2 linked regions of the Diceros bicornis minor genome follow. The protein of the gene in region 2 interacts with the protein of the main gene of each other region in a biochemical or structural test. Links are inferred from orthologs where the notes say so. Each region holds a gene or a part of one and is shown on either strand. Other genes may lie near its edges. The genes, in order: MAGED1 and PJA1.

Region 1 (8,616 bases), about 18 Mb from region 2:
ATAAGAAAAAGACAGTTCAAAAGAAAAAGTGGTCAAAAGACTTGAATAGGCACCTCATAAAAAGATATCCAGGCCAACAAACATATGGAAAGATACACATTTATCACCAGAGATATGCAAATTAAAACCACAATGAGATACCATTCATAACCACTAGAATGGCTACTTTTTTTTCTTAAAAAGAAAAGACAATGACAAGTGTTGGCAATACTCTAGAGCAACTGGAACTCTTAAAAATTTCTGTTGGGAGTTTTTTAGTACAACCACTTTAGGAAACTGGTTGGCAGTATCTACTAAAGCTAGTCATATACATAACCTATGATTCAGCAATTCTAAGGTATATGCCCAACAGAAATGTGTGCATATATCACCAAAAGACATGTATTAGAATGTTCACAGTACTATTTACAGGCCAAAAATGGTAACAACCAAAATGCTCATCTATCATAATATATTCACATAATGCAATACATAGCAATGAGAATGAAGGACTTACTATAACACCTAATAACATGGATGAATCTCCAAAACAGAATCTTAAGCCAAAGAAGTCAGACCCCAAAAAATGCATACTATACTATTGTATTTTTATAAAGTCCAAAAACAGGCAAAATGATAGCAGTCATAGAAGCAGGACTGTGATTAATTTGGAGTTTAGTTGTGACTGGCAGGGAATACATTCAAGGGCTTTCAGATGTTGATCATGTTCTATTTCTTAATCTCAATGCTGGTTTACACAGGTGTGTTTACACTGTGAAAATGCTTTGAGCTGTACATTTACGATATGTGCATCTTTCTGCATGTTTTTAAGTTTACTTAAAAACAATGCCTGCCAATCTCAAATGGTTCAGCCAAAATATAGATTAAAAAAATATACAAAAAATTATATCTCAATAAAAAAATGGATGGATGGATGGATAGATAGAGCAAGCAAGTGAGTGAACAAGTGAGCTAATACGGCAAAAGTTAACAACTGTTGAATCTAGGTTCGGAGTATAAAAGTATTCATTGTAACTCTTCTTTAAATTTATACTTGTTTAAACTTTTTATTAAAAAACGTTCAAATAAAAAGACTCATCATGCCCCTCAGCTCTTAATATTTATAACTAGGAACTAATTCAAGCACCTGATATAATCCGATTTGTGAAAGGAAACTTTACAAAATGAAATTTCTACACCCAGATTATGTCTTATAAAATAATAAAATAAAATATTCTGTATATTTTCTATTTCTCATTAATAAACAGAGACAAACAGACAGGCAGATGGAGAGAAAGAGAGAACCAGGCCAGGACTGAGTGTCTGACAGACCTTAACTCCATGAACTCCACCACCATCTAGCAAGTTACTATCCACTTCTGAGCCTTGGTTTTATCATCAGTAAAATGACAACGGTAATACTGACCTTAGAGGGTGGTTTTTAACATTAGGGGGACAACTATATTTAAAAGCTTGTCTGTTACAGATAAGCACTGAATTAATTTCAATTTACCATACCAAATATTTATGGGCAACATATGAACACGCAGTGATAAGAGCAGTGAGAGAGGTAAGGAAATATGGTGTCCAATAACACACAATGCACCACAAATAAACAGACTGAGGAAGAGGTGAGGATGGAGATAGAGATGTCTTCCCATAGGGGCTGGTAACTGACGATTCACCTAAATGGTAGCAAGAAGCTAGGCAGGAAGAGAATATGGGGAATTTATATGGACAGATTAGATTATTTGAGTATGTAGAGTGCTGCATTTATGTTATGCAGAAAAGTGACCATGGGCAGGGTGGGGTGAGGGGAAGTGTAGAAAGCAGAGTGAACAAAAAATGCAGAGACACTGACGTAGATTATATCCTGTTTTCCCACTAATATCTGTATAGTTTGTACCCTCACTTCCTTTAGGTTTCTGCTCAAATGTCACCTTACTAGGGAGGCCTTCTTGATCATCTTTTCTAAAATAGTACAGCCCCTCCCCATCACCACCTATTATATATTTATTATATATTCATTTATTGTCTATCTCTCAACTATAAAAGACTGTGTTTTTATCTTCCACTGTTGTATCCTCAGTGCTTAGAACACTGTCTGGCACATAAAAGTTATTCAATAAAAAATTCTTTAATAAATGGATGGATGGATGTACAGTGGGTTGAAGCCAGTGTGATGATGTTTAAACGCTGTGTAATTACGGTTTGAATAGAGAATAGAGACATCAGCAATACCCTTTGAAAAAGTTCCTAAGTGTTTTGGTGTTATGATATCTCTGCCTCATTGTTTATTCTAAAAGAACTGAAAATTATACTCGGCCTAGAAAAAAGAATCACCTCTTATTTTGGCAAGCATAATACACTAGTTACAGGAGAAAGAGGGAATAAATTGCTTGTTCAAGGAGAGCCTTTGTTAAATTCCTCTTTAGAGCCTGAAAAATCCTGACTTTCATTATAAATTTAACGATCATCTCCCCTCACTTGGGTAAAGAACTGAAATAATAAATTGTGATTATAAACTAATGTTCTCATAAGACAAATTACACATGACAAATGGAACAGAAAAATACATTTTACGTTGCAAAAAACGAAAAAAAAAAAGACAAAAGTTTACATTGCACCAAATAGGTAATACTTGCAAAGCTCCTAGGAAAAATCTGTTTGAAAAATCTGCCAGCTTGCTATTCCATGTCGCTGCCAGAGACAAGAAAAGGATCTGCATAATAAACCCAACTCAAGTGAAATAATAAATTTGTGATTGGATGTCATATCTGTCAACCATTTCTGCCCTATGAGAAGTTCTAAAGGGAATGGCAAAGCTTCCACCCTCTAAAGCTGACACCAGGTTATAAGCAAAACCCACTATGTTTGCCCCTCTAAAACTGTGAGGATTCAATTCTAAGTAATTTTTTTTTAATGTCATGAGTAGAGGACTGAAACCAGTGCAATATCTTCTGTGTAATTTTGTTTACAGTAAAAAAATAAAGTAAATGAACATAATAATTTGAACGAGTCCCTATGTCTCTTAGGGCTCTAAAATTTCTGCTTCTTTGCTTATTTCTAAAAAGAACAAAAACAGCCCTGGCCTTGAAACTGAAGTCATACCCGATTTTGGAAAGTATATAATTCACTGGCCTCTGCAGGAGGGGGACAGGAGAGATCCGAAGCCTTCGGAGGAGTAAGATACTGGGGTCAGAAGGAAGAATGTGGGCTCAGAGTGGGGGAAGGGGTTTGCAAAAGTTCTGAGGCTAAAATGGGGTGGAGTGGAAGGTAGGAGTAAGAGGTAAGAAAGAAATCTGTGGTAGAGGGAATGATCCAGGCTCAGAAAGATCGTGAAGAGGATCGGGGATAATGAGGAGAGGTGAAGAATGACCACTGACAAAAAGGACCACAAGAGTCAGAAGGGGGAGGGGACGACCGCCTGCCATCTCTGGAGTAGGAGAGAGGAGATAGGGAGGCGACCGGAACCACAAGGATCAGAAACACCCTTCATACAATGGACTCTGGAGATGAATTCTTCTTTCCATCCCGTGTTGAAGCAAAGAGGAAAGCTTCCCTACAGCGTTTGGGGATTCACTTGTAAGAATTACCAGACCCTTTCTTTACACTCACCTTGACGAAGAAAGCCGCAACGCGACGTTGGCGGGACCGGAAGTGCTATTTTCTTTTGTTTGGCAGAAGCTTAAGCTTCTGCCGCCACCCGCCCACACTTCACTCCAGGCAACTTCCTGTGCCTCTCTAGCAAGCTCTTGCAATACTTGAACTTATTGGCTCTCTCAGCGGATGAGAACCTGGGTAGTGATGTAAAACGACTGGGAGGGGGAATCAGTAACTGTTTACAAATCCCGGCTGTAGTCATCCCAGGAACTGCAGTATCTCTGCCAAACTCCACGTATTCAATTTGTCACCTCACCTTGTTGATTCAGCCTTTGGAATACCTCCTTTACCCTTAGTCCCTTAACTTTTGGATGTCTATAGTTACGTATTTACCATACTGGTTTACTGTTTTCTGACACACAGTTTTGAAAAAAAGTTCATTTTTATTAGTGGCATATTTCAATTTCAAGATTTTTAAAAAATCTTAAATCTGAATCATGTTTGTATTGGGATGATATCCAAAGAGTTTCATGCCATACTCAAATTTCCAAATAAATAAAGGTGAATTCATTTAGAAAGCATTCTTGTATACTTATATACTCCCCCCAAAAATGAAGAAAATGACAACTGACAAAAAGTTTCAATAATAAGAATAATCTTTACTCTCGTTAAAAGTTCAATATTGAATTACTCATTGCCACTAACTCCAGAAAGCTCTTTTGAGTCCAAAATCTGTACCCCAGTTCTCCTCTTTTGTGATTATTTTCATTCAATCCACAAGTATGTACTGAGTGCTTACCGTGTCCCAAACACTATGCTACATAGAGAAGCATTGCACCAGGAGCCTACAGACTAGGGGCTAAAGGTGACATTTAAACATATGAAAGTCTAGCATAAAACAGGTGATTATCAATGTTTGTTCAATGAATAAATGACCAAAATGTGGTCAGGGCAATGATGGGAGCCAGCACAAGGTCCTCACTTTTGCTAGTATTTTTATACTTCATTTCAACATTTTGACTCATATTTTGTCATTCAACCAACATATTTTGAACAACCACTCAATATAAGGTTCGGTTCCTGATACTTCCCATATAAAGAAGAACAAAACATACTTCTGATTTCAAGACCCTCCAACCAGTGAGGGAAATGAACACATAAACAATTAGCAGCACTATAATGTGACAATAATAATCAGTAAAGAGGAGATAGTGTAGGAACTATGACTATCCCATTGACTGGTCAATACTAAAAACCTAAAATAGACCTCACGTCCTACAGGATGCTCAATAAAGACTTGTTCAATGTTGAATAAATGGTTGAACGGATGAATGAAAGGAAATAATGGCAGTGGAGTTGAAGTATCATGTGAAAGGAGCAGTGATGAGAGATGAAGCTGGATGTAAGAAGCCAGAGAAAGAAGGATCTTGCATGCCATGTTGTAGTGTCTGAGCTTAATTATGAGGAAAACAGAAAGTCAAAGAAGAATTTTAAGGAAGAAAGTATACAGTAACATTTCAAACCAAAATATAGAAAATGGGTTGTACTGGTGCAATCTGAGGCAGAGACGTTGGTTTAGAGGATATTGTGGTAATCAATGAATAAATACAGAAAGTTAGGGGCTTGTGCTATTAAGAATTAATTATATTTGGGAATTGAGCTGAAAAAAAAATAGCCAGTGGATTATCAGAAATCCAGAGGCATTGAAACTTGAGTATTTTCCTTGACTCTCTCTACATTCAAATTTTTTGTTAGTTCATGCAACAAATATTTACTGAGCAGTTAATATGCACTGGGCTCTCAGGATAGAACTGTGACGAAAACGGACAAAAATTTCTGCCCTCACAGGAGTTACATTCTTGTGTCAGATAACAAAATTTTTGGGAAAATACATGCTAAAAAGTGACAAGTGCTATGAAGAAATAAAGCAGGTAAGTAGGATAGCAATGTGTGTGGGAGAGAGGTAGGGGGCTGCCATTACAGAAGGGCTCACTAAAAGGGTGATATATGAACAACATTGATAGATTTCATCCATTTCTCTCAGTCACCAAGATAACTATCTTAGTTCAGACTCTCCATATTTCTCCCCAAATCCCAACTCCTTACCATGGTATACAAATGCCTTGGTAGTCTAACTCTGTCTCTCTCTCTCTCTCTCTGTCTCTCTCTCTGTCTCTCTCTCTCTCTCTCTCTCGCCTCATCTCTCACCACTCAGCCTCTTCTACCCTAAGTCCAAGTCTCACACAACTGCTTATAATTTGGAAAGTGCGCCAGGATCTCAAATCTCTGTGCTTTCACACTCTGTTAACTCATATTCACCCTTCAAAGGTCAGCTCACATTTTATCTCTTTCACGAAACCATGCTGACTCTTTCTTTCACTCCTTAACCAAAACTAGACAACAGCTCCTCTTCTCTGCTTCTGCCATGTATCCTATTCTTATCACTTTCTTTCATTCACTCAACAAACATTTGTTGGTCAACTACTGTGTGGTTGTCACTGCTCAAGGCAGTAGAGAGACATGCATAAGTAAAGGAATGAAAAAAATCCTTGCACTTTGGAACTTACATTTTAGTGAGGAAGACAAGCAATAAACAAAACAACGTAATAAATATGGAACTTACAAAGCAGTAGTTATCAACTCTGGATGCCCATTAGAATCAGTAGGAGACCTTTTGTCTTTCTTCTTTTTTTAATACCAATGCCTAGTTCCCGTCCCAGCCAAAATTAACCTAAAGCTCTAGGGGTGAGGTCTGGCATTTATATGTGAATTTAAAGCTCTTTAGGGTGTTTCTGATGCACGGAGGAGATTGAAAATTACTGCCCTACAGGCTACACCTCAGGAAAAAGGAAATGATCCCAGAAGGACAGTCTGAAAAGCTAGAAGGAATGGAGAGCAAGTTAAAATGATAAACATGTATGTCAATCTAAAAAACAAATATGGTATGTATAAAAACATAATAATTAGGACTGAGTTGTGGGGTTGAAGAAAATGGTGATTCAAAGATTATGAACAAAAATATTATATAACAAGAAAAGATGGAGATAAGAATTAAATTGAGAGAGAAGTTAATATATTTTTAAAGTTCAGACATTAAGTTAAATAATTGTAATAAATATTCAGAAGTTACTACTAAAATAGCAGAAGCACAGTGAGAGTAAAAAATAGAATAAGCAAAATGCATAAATTTAAATCCATAGAGAGATAAAATGAAATAGGATAAAAAATTTCAATCATTAAAAACAAGAAGCACATACCTATATAAACAGAAAGACATGTGGTTTGATGGATAGTGTTTACCTCTGGGATAGGTGAAGAGAGGCAGAGGAGGATCTCATAGCCAGAGAAAATTTATTAATAATTATCTTGCTCTTGAGTTGATAGATGGTTCAGAAGTGTTCATTATACCACTGCTGTTTATAATTTACAAATATATTACACATATTATTTTGTATATATCATCTATTATAATAAAGTTACAAAGAATAATTTAAAAAAGTAATTACCAAAAAATGAGATAAAATTATATGCAATAAAAACTTTCCATCTTATACCTGGCCCCTAGCGACCTAGTGAGGTTCTTATTCTTTCAAAGACATTTTATACATATGCAAGCAAACAATTGTATATATTTTTTTACATTTTTACCAAACAATAGCATATGATACAAACTATTTCGCACCACGATTTTTTTCACTTAACTATATATGTAGGCATTCATTTCTCCATGGTGCATAAAGACATTTGTCATTTTTTTAAATTACATGCAGTAAACTACTTTTTTGGCATGTACAGTACTACGAATATTAGCACATGCATTGATTCATGTAACCACACTACAGTCAGAATACAAGACAATCCCTAAATCCCTCAAAGTCCCTATGATATCCTGTATTAGTCACACAGTCCTCCCTACCCCTAAACCCTGGCCGACTCACCTGTTCTCTTTCAGTCTAGTTTCTTCTTTTCTAAAATGTCATATAAATGGAAACGTAGAATATGTAACCTTTTGAAACAGGCTTCTTTTACTTTGGATAACACTTTTGAAATTCATTTAAGTCGTTGCATGTATCAATCATTCATCAGTTTTTATTTCTGAATGGTATTTCATTGTATGGATGTATCACAAATTGTTTATCCATTCACCAATTGAAAGATATTTGGGTGGTTTCCACTTTTGGAGATGATCAATTAAGCAGCTATAACATTCATATGCAGATTTTTGTGTGAACATAAGTTTTAATTTCTCAAAAGAAGTGCCTTGGAGTAGGATTGCTCATAAATGGTCATGGTATGTGGATGTTTAATTTAAATAAAAACTGCCAAAATGTTTTCTAAAGTGGCTGTATCATTTTGCATTCCCACCAGCAATATGTGAAAGTACTAATTGCTCCACATCCTTGCCAACACTTTGTATTCTTCATACTTTTTTTCATGTTAGCCATTCTAACAGGTAGGTAATAGAATCTCTTTATGGTTTTAGTATGCACACCATTTGTTAAAAGGACTTTTGTTTCTCCATTGAATATGCACCTTTGTAAAAAATAAATTCACCATATTTGTATTGGTCTATTTCTGAACCCTCTGTTCTTTTGCACTGATCTATGTGTCATCCCTTCACCAATACCACACTGTCTTGATAACTGTAGTTTTAAACTAAATCTTAATCTCAAGTGGTGTGATTCCTTCAAATTTATTCTTCTTTTTCAAAATTGGCTTGGCTATTCTGATTCCTTTCATTTTCCCTATAAATTATGGAATTAGATTTTCTATAACTACAAAAAAATTCTTTTGTGACTTTGATTGAAATTGTGTTAAATCTATAGATTAATTTGATGATAATTGTCATCTTACTATGTAGACTCTACAAATCCATGAGCACTAGATGTCTTTCCATTTCTTTAGATCTTAGATTTCTTTAATTAGTGTTTTATAGTTTTCAATATGCAGATCCTGTTTTGTTGTTGTTATTAAATTCACACCTAATTGCTTCCTTTTTTGAGCTATCATAAGTTTATTGTTTTCTTCAATTTT
Region 2 (9,355 bases):
GCCAGGCGTTCTTCAAGTGCCATGTATGTGAGGAACTGAGGATCCACATAGGAAATGGCTTCGGCCACCCCCAACCCATCTGCAAACCCATCAAAGAGGCTCCAATCCACTTCTAGGTCTTCACTCACACTGGAGTCATCTTCAAGGTTGTTGTTTCCATCCAGCATGAACACTCCGGGCTGCAGAAACTCCTGACCAGAATCATTATCCCCCTCACTGCTACTCTCATTTTCATTGTATGGCAGCCAAGGAACTTCTTCTTCTGGGGATGCCCGCTCCTCTTCCTGAAGAGATGGTCCTCGAACTTCTTCAAGTTCATTGCTGCCAGCACTGGCACTAGCACTGGGGCTGGCGCTGGCACTGGCACTGGCATTCACTCTGGCTTGCTCAGGTTCATGCTCTTCTCTCCCTGGCAGAGTCTCCCAGCTTTCACCACTGGATGACAGATTTTGCTCCCGACCTCGATATTTCCGACGCAGAGCAGCAGTCCACTCTTTGTCACTGTCAGAGTCTTCACCAAAATATTTGTAGTAATCATCGCTGTACGTCCAGAAGTCAGGGTCGGCCATGGTTCGTCGCCGTCTCGGCACCTTTTCTGGCTTCACTTGGTCATTCCTGGCTTCCCTCTTGTCTTCAGGGTACTTAGGCTCAGAGTAGCCACTTGAACTCTCGCCTCTGCCTCTTTTGGCTAGGCTATCCGAGTGGCCGTCATCAGTGTTGGCAGTATCCCTCCACCTGGAAGTACTGTGTGGCATATCATCATCATCATCAGTATCAAAAAACATTTTTGGTTTCACACAGTTTGGACTTGCCAGATTTCTGATTTTGGGCCTCACCACTGGTTCCTCTGCACCCTTTGGGGTGTTTTCCCCACCACCACAAATACTCACAGGAGCCCTGCCCGGACGTGCAGGCAAATTCTGCTCCTGTCTCTCCCGCTCCAGGCTATTACCATTTGTAGCCACTTTGCCTTCATCAGCAGGTGTCTGAGAGACCATGCTATTTTGCTGCAGAAACTCAGCTCGGCTAGCAGAGCATCTTGCTGCAGGGGCTGGGTCTAACTTGTCAAGCTCCTCTCTCACATCACGGTTAAAACTAGAGAACTGTGGGGGCACCCCAGTCAGAGACCTCACCCCTTTCTCTGGGTCATACAGCTTATCATCTTTAAACTTGCCAGTTTTCCCTCTCACTGGTGCTCGCTCAACAGGCCCAGCCCCCTCCTCCTCACTATCATCTGCCCCGAAAGAGTCAACATGTCCATAAGCCATTCCTCTTCTGCTACCCGAAGCCCTGTACTCGCGTGGCGGGTACCTGGTGTAGTCCTCATTGTCAACATTCAGGCTGGTTCCCGAGCTCTCACTGTCGTCCCAACTACGACGAGTGGTGGAAAATGGCGAGCGGCTCCTCTTGGTGGTTTGACTGGGGGCTGATCTGTGCATTGAGACTTCAGATGTCGTCTTTCTCTGACTGGAAATTCTTTCCTGCTGGCTCGTGGACGGCCTGAAACTGACATAAGCATGCCTCCTTCCATACCTCCTGCCTGTGTTGGACTGATACCCTCCTGCTGGCTTGGGCCATACAGGCTTGCTAGATTCCTGACCCATTGCTCTGACTTAGGAGGGTTTCCAATACAGCTTGGGGCTCGAGTGGAAAGGCTCCTGCTCCCTGTACACACTTTGGAGATGGGAAAGTCAAATCAGTTCAGAATAAAGGAGCAGGGAGATTTACTTTCACTTCAGCAGGCAGGTAACAGAAAGAATAAGGGGCCTTTTAAATTAGTTTCACTTTCTTCTAAGGCCTGGAGTAGCATTCCAGTGACTGTCAGGTGTAGACCTGGAACACATTTTTAATGTTGGCAAAATGATTACAAAACTGGATTTGCAGGAAAGCCACACTTAGAGGAGAATCTGACAGAAGACGGGGGGTGACTGGATGCTTGGAAGGGGGGTGAAGTACTGTGGAATTGTGCCAACATGGGAAGAAGAAAGGCTGCTGCAGGTTTTTTACGGGGTGTCTGCGTTTTTTGGAGCCCTGCAGACATACAGGAGAAATGCAAATTGGAAAAGGGTGGAAAATATAGATCACCATGTGTGCAGGAGTGCCTATGTGTCTAGCAGGAGGAGAGAAGCAGGTGGAAGGGGGACCAGCAATCATGCAGTGGAGAGATGTCTGTGTTTGTAGGGGGAAGGAGCATGTGACAGTGACATTGGGAAGAGGTGTGAGTGTCAGAATGAGACCCATTCTGAATGTATGAAAATGACAGGTGTGGATGGGGTGGCTTTAGAGGAGAGAGGTGTGTGTGAGTATGAGAGAGAGAATGTGTGTGTGGTGTTGTATGTATGGCAGCTGGAACTCTATGCAGGGATGCCTGTGCTTATGCATCTGTGGCAGGCAAGGAAGGGTACGGTGGCATTGGACAGGGACGTCCATGAGTTTGTGTGTGTGTTCATCAAAATGGGAGGCAACAATGGAGAAATGTCAATATGAGCAAATGCATCGATGAGGACAGCACTGGAGAGGGATGTGCTTGTGGCGGGCAGGCGGAACAGGGGCCAGCAATCAAAGAAGGTCTGTATGCATGAATGTGGCTAGCAGGGAAGGGGGTGGCGTCCCTGGAAAAGGATTTATGTGAGTGTGTGCACCACAGGGGCCAGCAAAGGAGGGCTGTCTGTGCATACAAGTAGCAGACAGGGAACAGGAGAGGGGAGCATTTAAGAGGGGTGTGTGAACAAGTGTGTGTGGGGGCATATGTATGTAAGCAGCATATGAAAGAGGAGCCAGCAATTGAAGGATATCCTTATGTGTGTATGTGGCAGGCAGGGGATAAGATGGTCCCAGAGGGAGGGTGAGTGTGTGAGTGTGTGTGTGTGTGTGTGTGTTCTCCAGAGCATGAAGAGGCAGAAGGAGGAGGGGGCCGCTTCTGGAAGTGTGTATGGGACAGGAAGTGAGAGGTAGGGAAAGGCACTGGACGGTATGACAATGTGTGAAAGGGTGTGTGTGCGTGTGTGTGTCCATGCATGCGCGGGGGAGGGGATGCATCGCAACCTTGAGTATGGGGAGATGGAGAGGGGGCTGCAATGGAAGGTTTCTGTGCGTCTGTGTGTGTGCATGTGTGTATGTGTGTGTATACGCGTGCATGTGTGTGTGTGTCCCCATGTGCGCACTTGGAGACATGGGGGTGGGGGCGGCACAATGTCATAGTGAGAGACAGGAAAATGTTATCAGTCCAAACGGTAGATCCAAACCAAACAGATATGACAGGGAAGGGGAAAAAAGAAAGAAAAGGGCGTATGTGGATATAGTTTTCCCGGGGGAATAATTTGTTTTTCTGCCAATTCTTTTCCTGGGAACAATATATTTACCTAAAAATCTTAACAATTTACCATTCAGCAAAACAACTGCAAAATGGGGGAAGAAAGGCCACGGAGTGCTGCGCAAAGGGGCCAAGAAGGGAGGAAGGAAGGGGGGGAGGAGAGGCAGAGAGAGGTGGGAGAGGGCCGTGACACCACTCCCCTCTCATATAGCGATTAAAGCCATTCAAGTGGGGGCCGTGCCACACGAAAGGGGCTGGAGGACGGAGGATGGAGCCCCAAAACAGGCCAATGGAGGACACAGGCCTCACTCTGCAGTCAGGTCCCGCGTCCGCCCCACCCCTTCCCGAGGGGCGAGCCTGAAAATCTGTCCTATAGAGCCCCCCACAATTCTCGCCTCCGTGCCCAGCCACCCGCCCATGCCCGGCCAGTCGTCCCACTGCCGCGTCTGAATAAATCGAGGAAAGAAACCGCCTTTCACTCACCCAGTCCCGACCCCCGTACGCTCTCGAGAGGAACAGAGCTCTCAGACCTCCGACCGCCACGACCGCCAGAGCCGCTGCTCCCGGGTCTCCAGCTCCTCCCCCGCCAGACAGCAGTGGGGCGGGCGGCGACTGCGGCGGCGGAAGTGGTTGTGGCGTCGGCTGGGGCCCGCCCCCTTGATGTGGCGGGGGTGGCAGCCGCTCTCGACAAATCAAGGAGGGCCCGAAAGCATTATTTCATTTTAAATGATGAAATCGTCAAGGATACAGAAAAGGACAGCGAAAAATGTAACCAACAGCCAGCTTTAACAAATGTTAAACATTTAGCCATATTCCCTTCTGTTCTCGGTTTTTTTTTTTCCAGTAAAATGAAATCTGCAATTCTTTCTGATTAATTCCAATGTGAAAGTAATTATATGACTATATCATATCCTATGTTATGTGGTATGGCTTGTACTGGAAGTATTAAAAATGTGAAACTGTATTTAGGGTTGCAGTAAGCTTAAATTTTTTTAACCTGGTGGTTGAAGCAAATTGAACTGTTTACAGTAGAATTGTTGCTGTTAATCGCAAAATCAAGTTTCTTGACTGAAATGAAAAGAAATGATCGATCATGAAGCACACACGGGTTCACATTCTGGTCATTGAATTGCTGTGCCTTTTAGAGTTATACAATTTTCTTAAACTCTGAACTCTTTTTTATAAATCGCACTTTACAATGTTATCTCTAATATTTACATTGAATGTCAAGACATCTATGTTCACAACAATAACAAAGTTTTGTTCTGACTGGAAATAAAATGTAAAATAGAAGAACAAGAAATTTTAAGGGTAACAATAGAATAGAAATAGGCTGTATAACTTTCAAACCATTAAAGAAATAATATGTAGAACAAAGAGAAAAACTCAGTCTAACAAAGGGTAGAAATGGGGTGGGAGGCAGCAAGAAAGGATGTTAAAAAATAAAAAACAAAGGGCAGGAATAAATGCAAATACATCAGTATGTATTATGGGTTAATATCTCCTATAAAAAAGCAAACTCTCATTTTGAGCATTTCGTTTTTAGAAATCCAGTTATATGCTGTTTATATGAGTTTCACCTAAAGCAGAAATAGGAATAGAAAATATATGCCAGTGAAATACTAGCGGGAAGGAAGGAAGAAAAGAAGAAAGGGAGGAAAGGAGGGAGGGAGAGAGGAGAAGGAAGGAATTTAGGGAAAAAAAAGAGAAGGAAAGAAGGAAGAAAGGAAAGATACATGTAGAAATATTAATATCAGAAAAATCAAAAACTCAAAGTAAAAAGCATTAAAGAGAACAAAACAGGTTGTTTCATTCACTGAGAAGATATAGTCACTAAAATTTATATGCCAAACAATGTAATTTCAAAATAAATGAGGCAAATATTATTAGAAATGTAAAGAGAGATGAAAAAGTCTGCAATTATCGTGAGAGATTCAACCGCACTTGTTATGGTATAGATAGATCACATAGACTGCAAAGAAACGAGGATATAGAGAGATTGAACAACACACTGAACAAGCCTGATCTAATGTATACATATTTTTTGGACTCAAGAAATGATGTATTTTTTTATAAAAAATATTTCAAACATACAGAAAAGTACAGAGTATAAAATGCATATTTGCATGTACCTGTCACACAGGGTGAGCAAATTTTATTTTCTTCAGATCCTCAGATCCTTCTGTTTTTGAAACAAAATATTAGAGTTGAAGCTCTCACTTTATTCTATTCATCTTCTTTTCCCAAAAGAAGCACTGTTTAGAAGTTTCCTTCTTGTCCGTGTTTTTCTTTTTCTACATATGTATATATCCATAACCAATACACATTATTCTTTTATGTATTTTAAATTATTTAAATGTTATTATAATAAATACATTCTTTTGCAACTTAAATTTTCACTTATTTTTTTTGAAATTTAGCAATTTGATACATTTAGATCTAGGTCATGCATTTTAACTGCTGAATACTATTGTATTAATTTTCCAATATAGTATTACTATAATATATTATATGGACATCTGTTGCATCAATTATCCAATTTCTTTATCTCTTTCCCTGCTGATAGACTTGGGTTGTTTCTGTTTTGTGCAATTATAAATGAGGATTTAATGAACATCCTAGCACATGGCTCCTCGTGCCCATATGGATGAGTTTCTCTGGGGCAAACCTTCCCAACTGGGTAATGGGTATTCTGACATATCAATGCCCTTAGCTCTCCAGGAAGATGGGCCTGGCTTCACTCAGCTGCTGCCCTGGGGACTGTTGCCTCTGGCTAAGAGCAGACTGTCTGTTCATCCCAATGAACTGGCACAATTATTAGCATTTTAACATATGCTCTGACGTGAAAAAGATTGGAAAAAATTGCTCTAGTGTATGTACATTGAAGTGAAGTTTCTGGGTCAAAGGGTATATAGTAGTTATCTATTGCTGTGTAACAAATTGCCCCAAAACTTAGCAGCTTAAAAAAACAAAGATTTATTACATCAGAGTTTCTGTGGGTTAGGAATCTATGCACGGCTTACCTGGGTGCCTCTGGTTCGAAGTCTCTCATGAAGTTGCACTCCAACTGTCATCTGGGGCTGCAGTTTCATTTGCAGGCTTAATTGAGGAGTGAGGTCCACATCAAAGCTCTTTTACTTGGCTGTTGGCAGGCTCAGAAAATCCACTTGCAAGCTCACTCATGTGGTTGCTGTCAGGCTTCAATTCCTTGTCATGTGGGCCTATCCACGGGCTTCCTGAGTCTCCTCACAACATGGCAGTCGGTGAGAGAAACAGCCAAAGAGCACCTAAGATGGAAGACATAGTCCTTTTATGACTTAAGCTCAGAAGTGACATCCCAACACTTTTGCCATATCCTAGTCGTTGAAAGCGAGCCACAGAATTTGTCCATTTCATCTAAGTTATCAAATTTGTAGGCATGGAGTTGGTCATAATATGTCTTTATTATCCTTTTGATGTCCGTGAGATCAGTAGTAATGGCTCCTCTTTCATTTCTGTTATTCGTAATTTTGTCTATTCTCTTTTTTCTTTTCTTTTTCTTTTTCTTTTTTTAAGTAGGGGCAGTATCTTTTTTTTTTTTTTTTGGCAGGGAAAGATTCACCCTGAGCTAACATCTGTTGCCAATCTTCCTCTTTTATTTTCCTCCCCAAAGCCCTAGAGCACAGTTGTATATCCTAGTTGTAAGTCATTCTAGTTCTTCAATGTGAGCCCCTGCCACAGCATGGCAACTGATAGACGGGTGGTGTGGTTCCACTACCAGGAAATAAACCTGGGCTGCCAAAGCAGTAAGAGCACCAAACTTTAACCACTAGAGCATCAGGGCTGGCTCTACTCTCTTTTTTTCGTGGTGAGCCTGGCTAAAGACTTACCAATCTTATTGATCTTTTCAAAGAATCAGCTTTTGGTTTTGTTGATATTCTCTATTGTTCTGTTTTCAATTTCATTTATTTCTGTTCTTTTGTTATTTTCCTCTGCTCACTTTGGATTTAATTTGCTTTTCTTTTTCTAGTTTCCTAAGGTGGAAGCTTAGATTATTGATTTTAGATCCTTCTTCTTTTCTAATATATGTATTCAATGTTATAAATTTCCCTCTAAGCACTGCTTTTACTGCATCCCACAAATTTTGTTGTTATAGTTTCATTTTCACTTATTTCAAAATATTTTTTCAATTTCTCTTAAGACTTCTTCTTAACCCATATGTTATTTAGAAATGTGTTGTTTAATCTCCAAATATTTGGGAATTTTCCAGCTATCTTTCCGTTATTGATTTCTAATTTAATTCCACTGTGGTCTGAGAGCACACTTTGTATAATATCTATTCTTTTAAATTTGTTAAGGTGTATTTTCTGGCCCAGGATGTGGTCTATCTTGGTGAATATTCCATGTGAGCTTGAGAAGAAAGTGTATTCTGCTGTTGTTGAATGAAGTAATCTATAAATATCAATTAGATCCAGGTGATTGATGGTGCTATTCAGTTCAACCATAGCCTTACTGATTTTGTGCCTGCTGGATTTGTCAATTATTGATGGAGGGGTGTTGAAGTCTCCAACTATAATAGTGGATTCATCTATTTTTCCTTGTAGTCCTACCCATTTTTGCCTCATGTATTTTGATGCCTTTTTGTCAGGTGCATACACATTAAGGACTGTTACGTCTTCTTGGAGAATTGACCCCTTTTATCATTATGTAATGCCCCTATTTATCCCTGATAATTTTCCTTGTTCTGAAATCTGCTTTGTCTGGAATTAACATAGCTACTCCAGCTTTCTTTTTATTAATGTTAGCATGTATCTCTTCCTCTATCCATTTACTTTTAATCTGTGTCTTTATATCTAAAATGGGTTTCTTGTAGAAAACATATAGTTGGGTCTTTTTTTATTTTTATTTTTTTTTGTGTGTGTGTGTGAGGAAGATCAGCCCTGAGCTAACATCCATGCTAATCCTCCTCTTTTTGCTGAGGAAGACCGGCTCTGAGCTAACATCTATTGCCAATCCTCCTCCTTTTTTTTCCCCAAAGCCCCAGTGGATAGTTGTATGTTATAGTTGCACATCCTTCTAGTTGCTGTATGTGGGATGCGGCCTCAGCATGGCCGGAGAAGCGGTGTGTCAGTGCGCACCCGGGATCCAAACCCGGGGCCGCCAGTAGTGGAGCGTGCACACTCAACCGCTAAGCCACAGGGCCGGCCCTGGGTCTTTTTTAAAATCCATTCTGATAGTCTCTGCCTTTTAATTGGTGTAGTTAGACCATTCACATTTAAAATGATTATTGTTATGGTTGGATTAATATGTACCGTATTTGTAACTGTTTCCTATTCATTGTCCTTGTTCTTTGTTTCTCTCTTTTTGTCTTCCATTCTTTTTCTCTCTTCTCTGATTTTAATTGAGCACTTTATATGATTCCATTTTCTCACCTCTCTTAGGATTTCAATTATATTTCTTATTTTTACATTTTTTAGTGGTTGCCCTAGAGTTTGCAATATACATTTACAACTAATCCAAGCCCACTTTCAAATGACACTATACTACTTCATGGGTAGTGCATGTACCTTATAACAGAGTATTCCCAATTCCTTCCTCCTGTCCCTTATAACACCACTGTCATTCATTTCACTTATCTGTAGGCTATAATCATCCAATACATTGTTGCTATTATTATTTTTTGAACAAACTATTATCTGTTAGGTCAGTTAAGAATAAGAAAAATGGAAGATTTTATTTTATTTATACCTTTATTTATTCCTTCTCAAACACTCTCCCTTTTTTTATGTAGATCCAAGTTTCTGACCTATATTCTTCTTCTTTCTGAAGAACTTCTTTTTTGTTGTTTTTTTTTTTTTTTATTGATGTTTTAATGGTTTCTAACATTGTGAAATTTTGGGTTGTACATTTTTGTTTGTCCATCACCCCATATATGACTCCCTTCACCCCTTGTGCCCACCCCCCACCCCCCACCCCCACTGCCCGGGTAACCACAGTCCAGTTTTCTCTGTCCATGTGTTGGTTTATATTCCACATATGAGTGAGATCATACAGTGTTTGTCT

What was found.
Region 1: the proteins of PJA1 (region 2) and MAGED1 form a complex in vitro, tested with the Homo sapiens proteins (2 studies listed by BioGRID, with this or other methods). The link is inferred for Diceros bicornis minor from reciprocal best matches to the Homo sapiens genes PJA1 and MAGED1.

The regions. Positions count from the first base shown.
Region 1 is NC_080781.1:44,339,894-44,348,509, reverse strand, and holds the start of MAGED1 (melanoma-associated antigen D1), read right to left. Parts: upstream 3,678-8,616; 5' UTR 3,598-3,677; intron 1-3,597. UniProt on the Homo sapiens protein: Involved in the apoptotic response after nerve growth factor (NGF) binding in neuronal cells. Inhibits cell cycle progression, and facilitates NGFR-mediated apoptosis. May act as a regulator of the function of DLX family members.
Region 2 is NC_080781.1:62,652,764-62,662,118, forward strand, and holds the start of PJA1 (E3 ubiquitin-protein ligase Praja-1), read right to left. Parts: upstream 3,881-9,355; 5' UTR 3,797-3,880; intron 1,834-3,796; 5' UTR 1,605-1,833; coding exon 1-1,604. UniProt on the Homo sapiens protein: Has E2-dependent E3 ubiquitin-protein ligase activity. Ubiquitinates MAGED1 antigen leading to its subsequent degradation by proteasome. May be involved in protein sorting.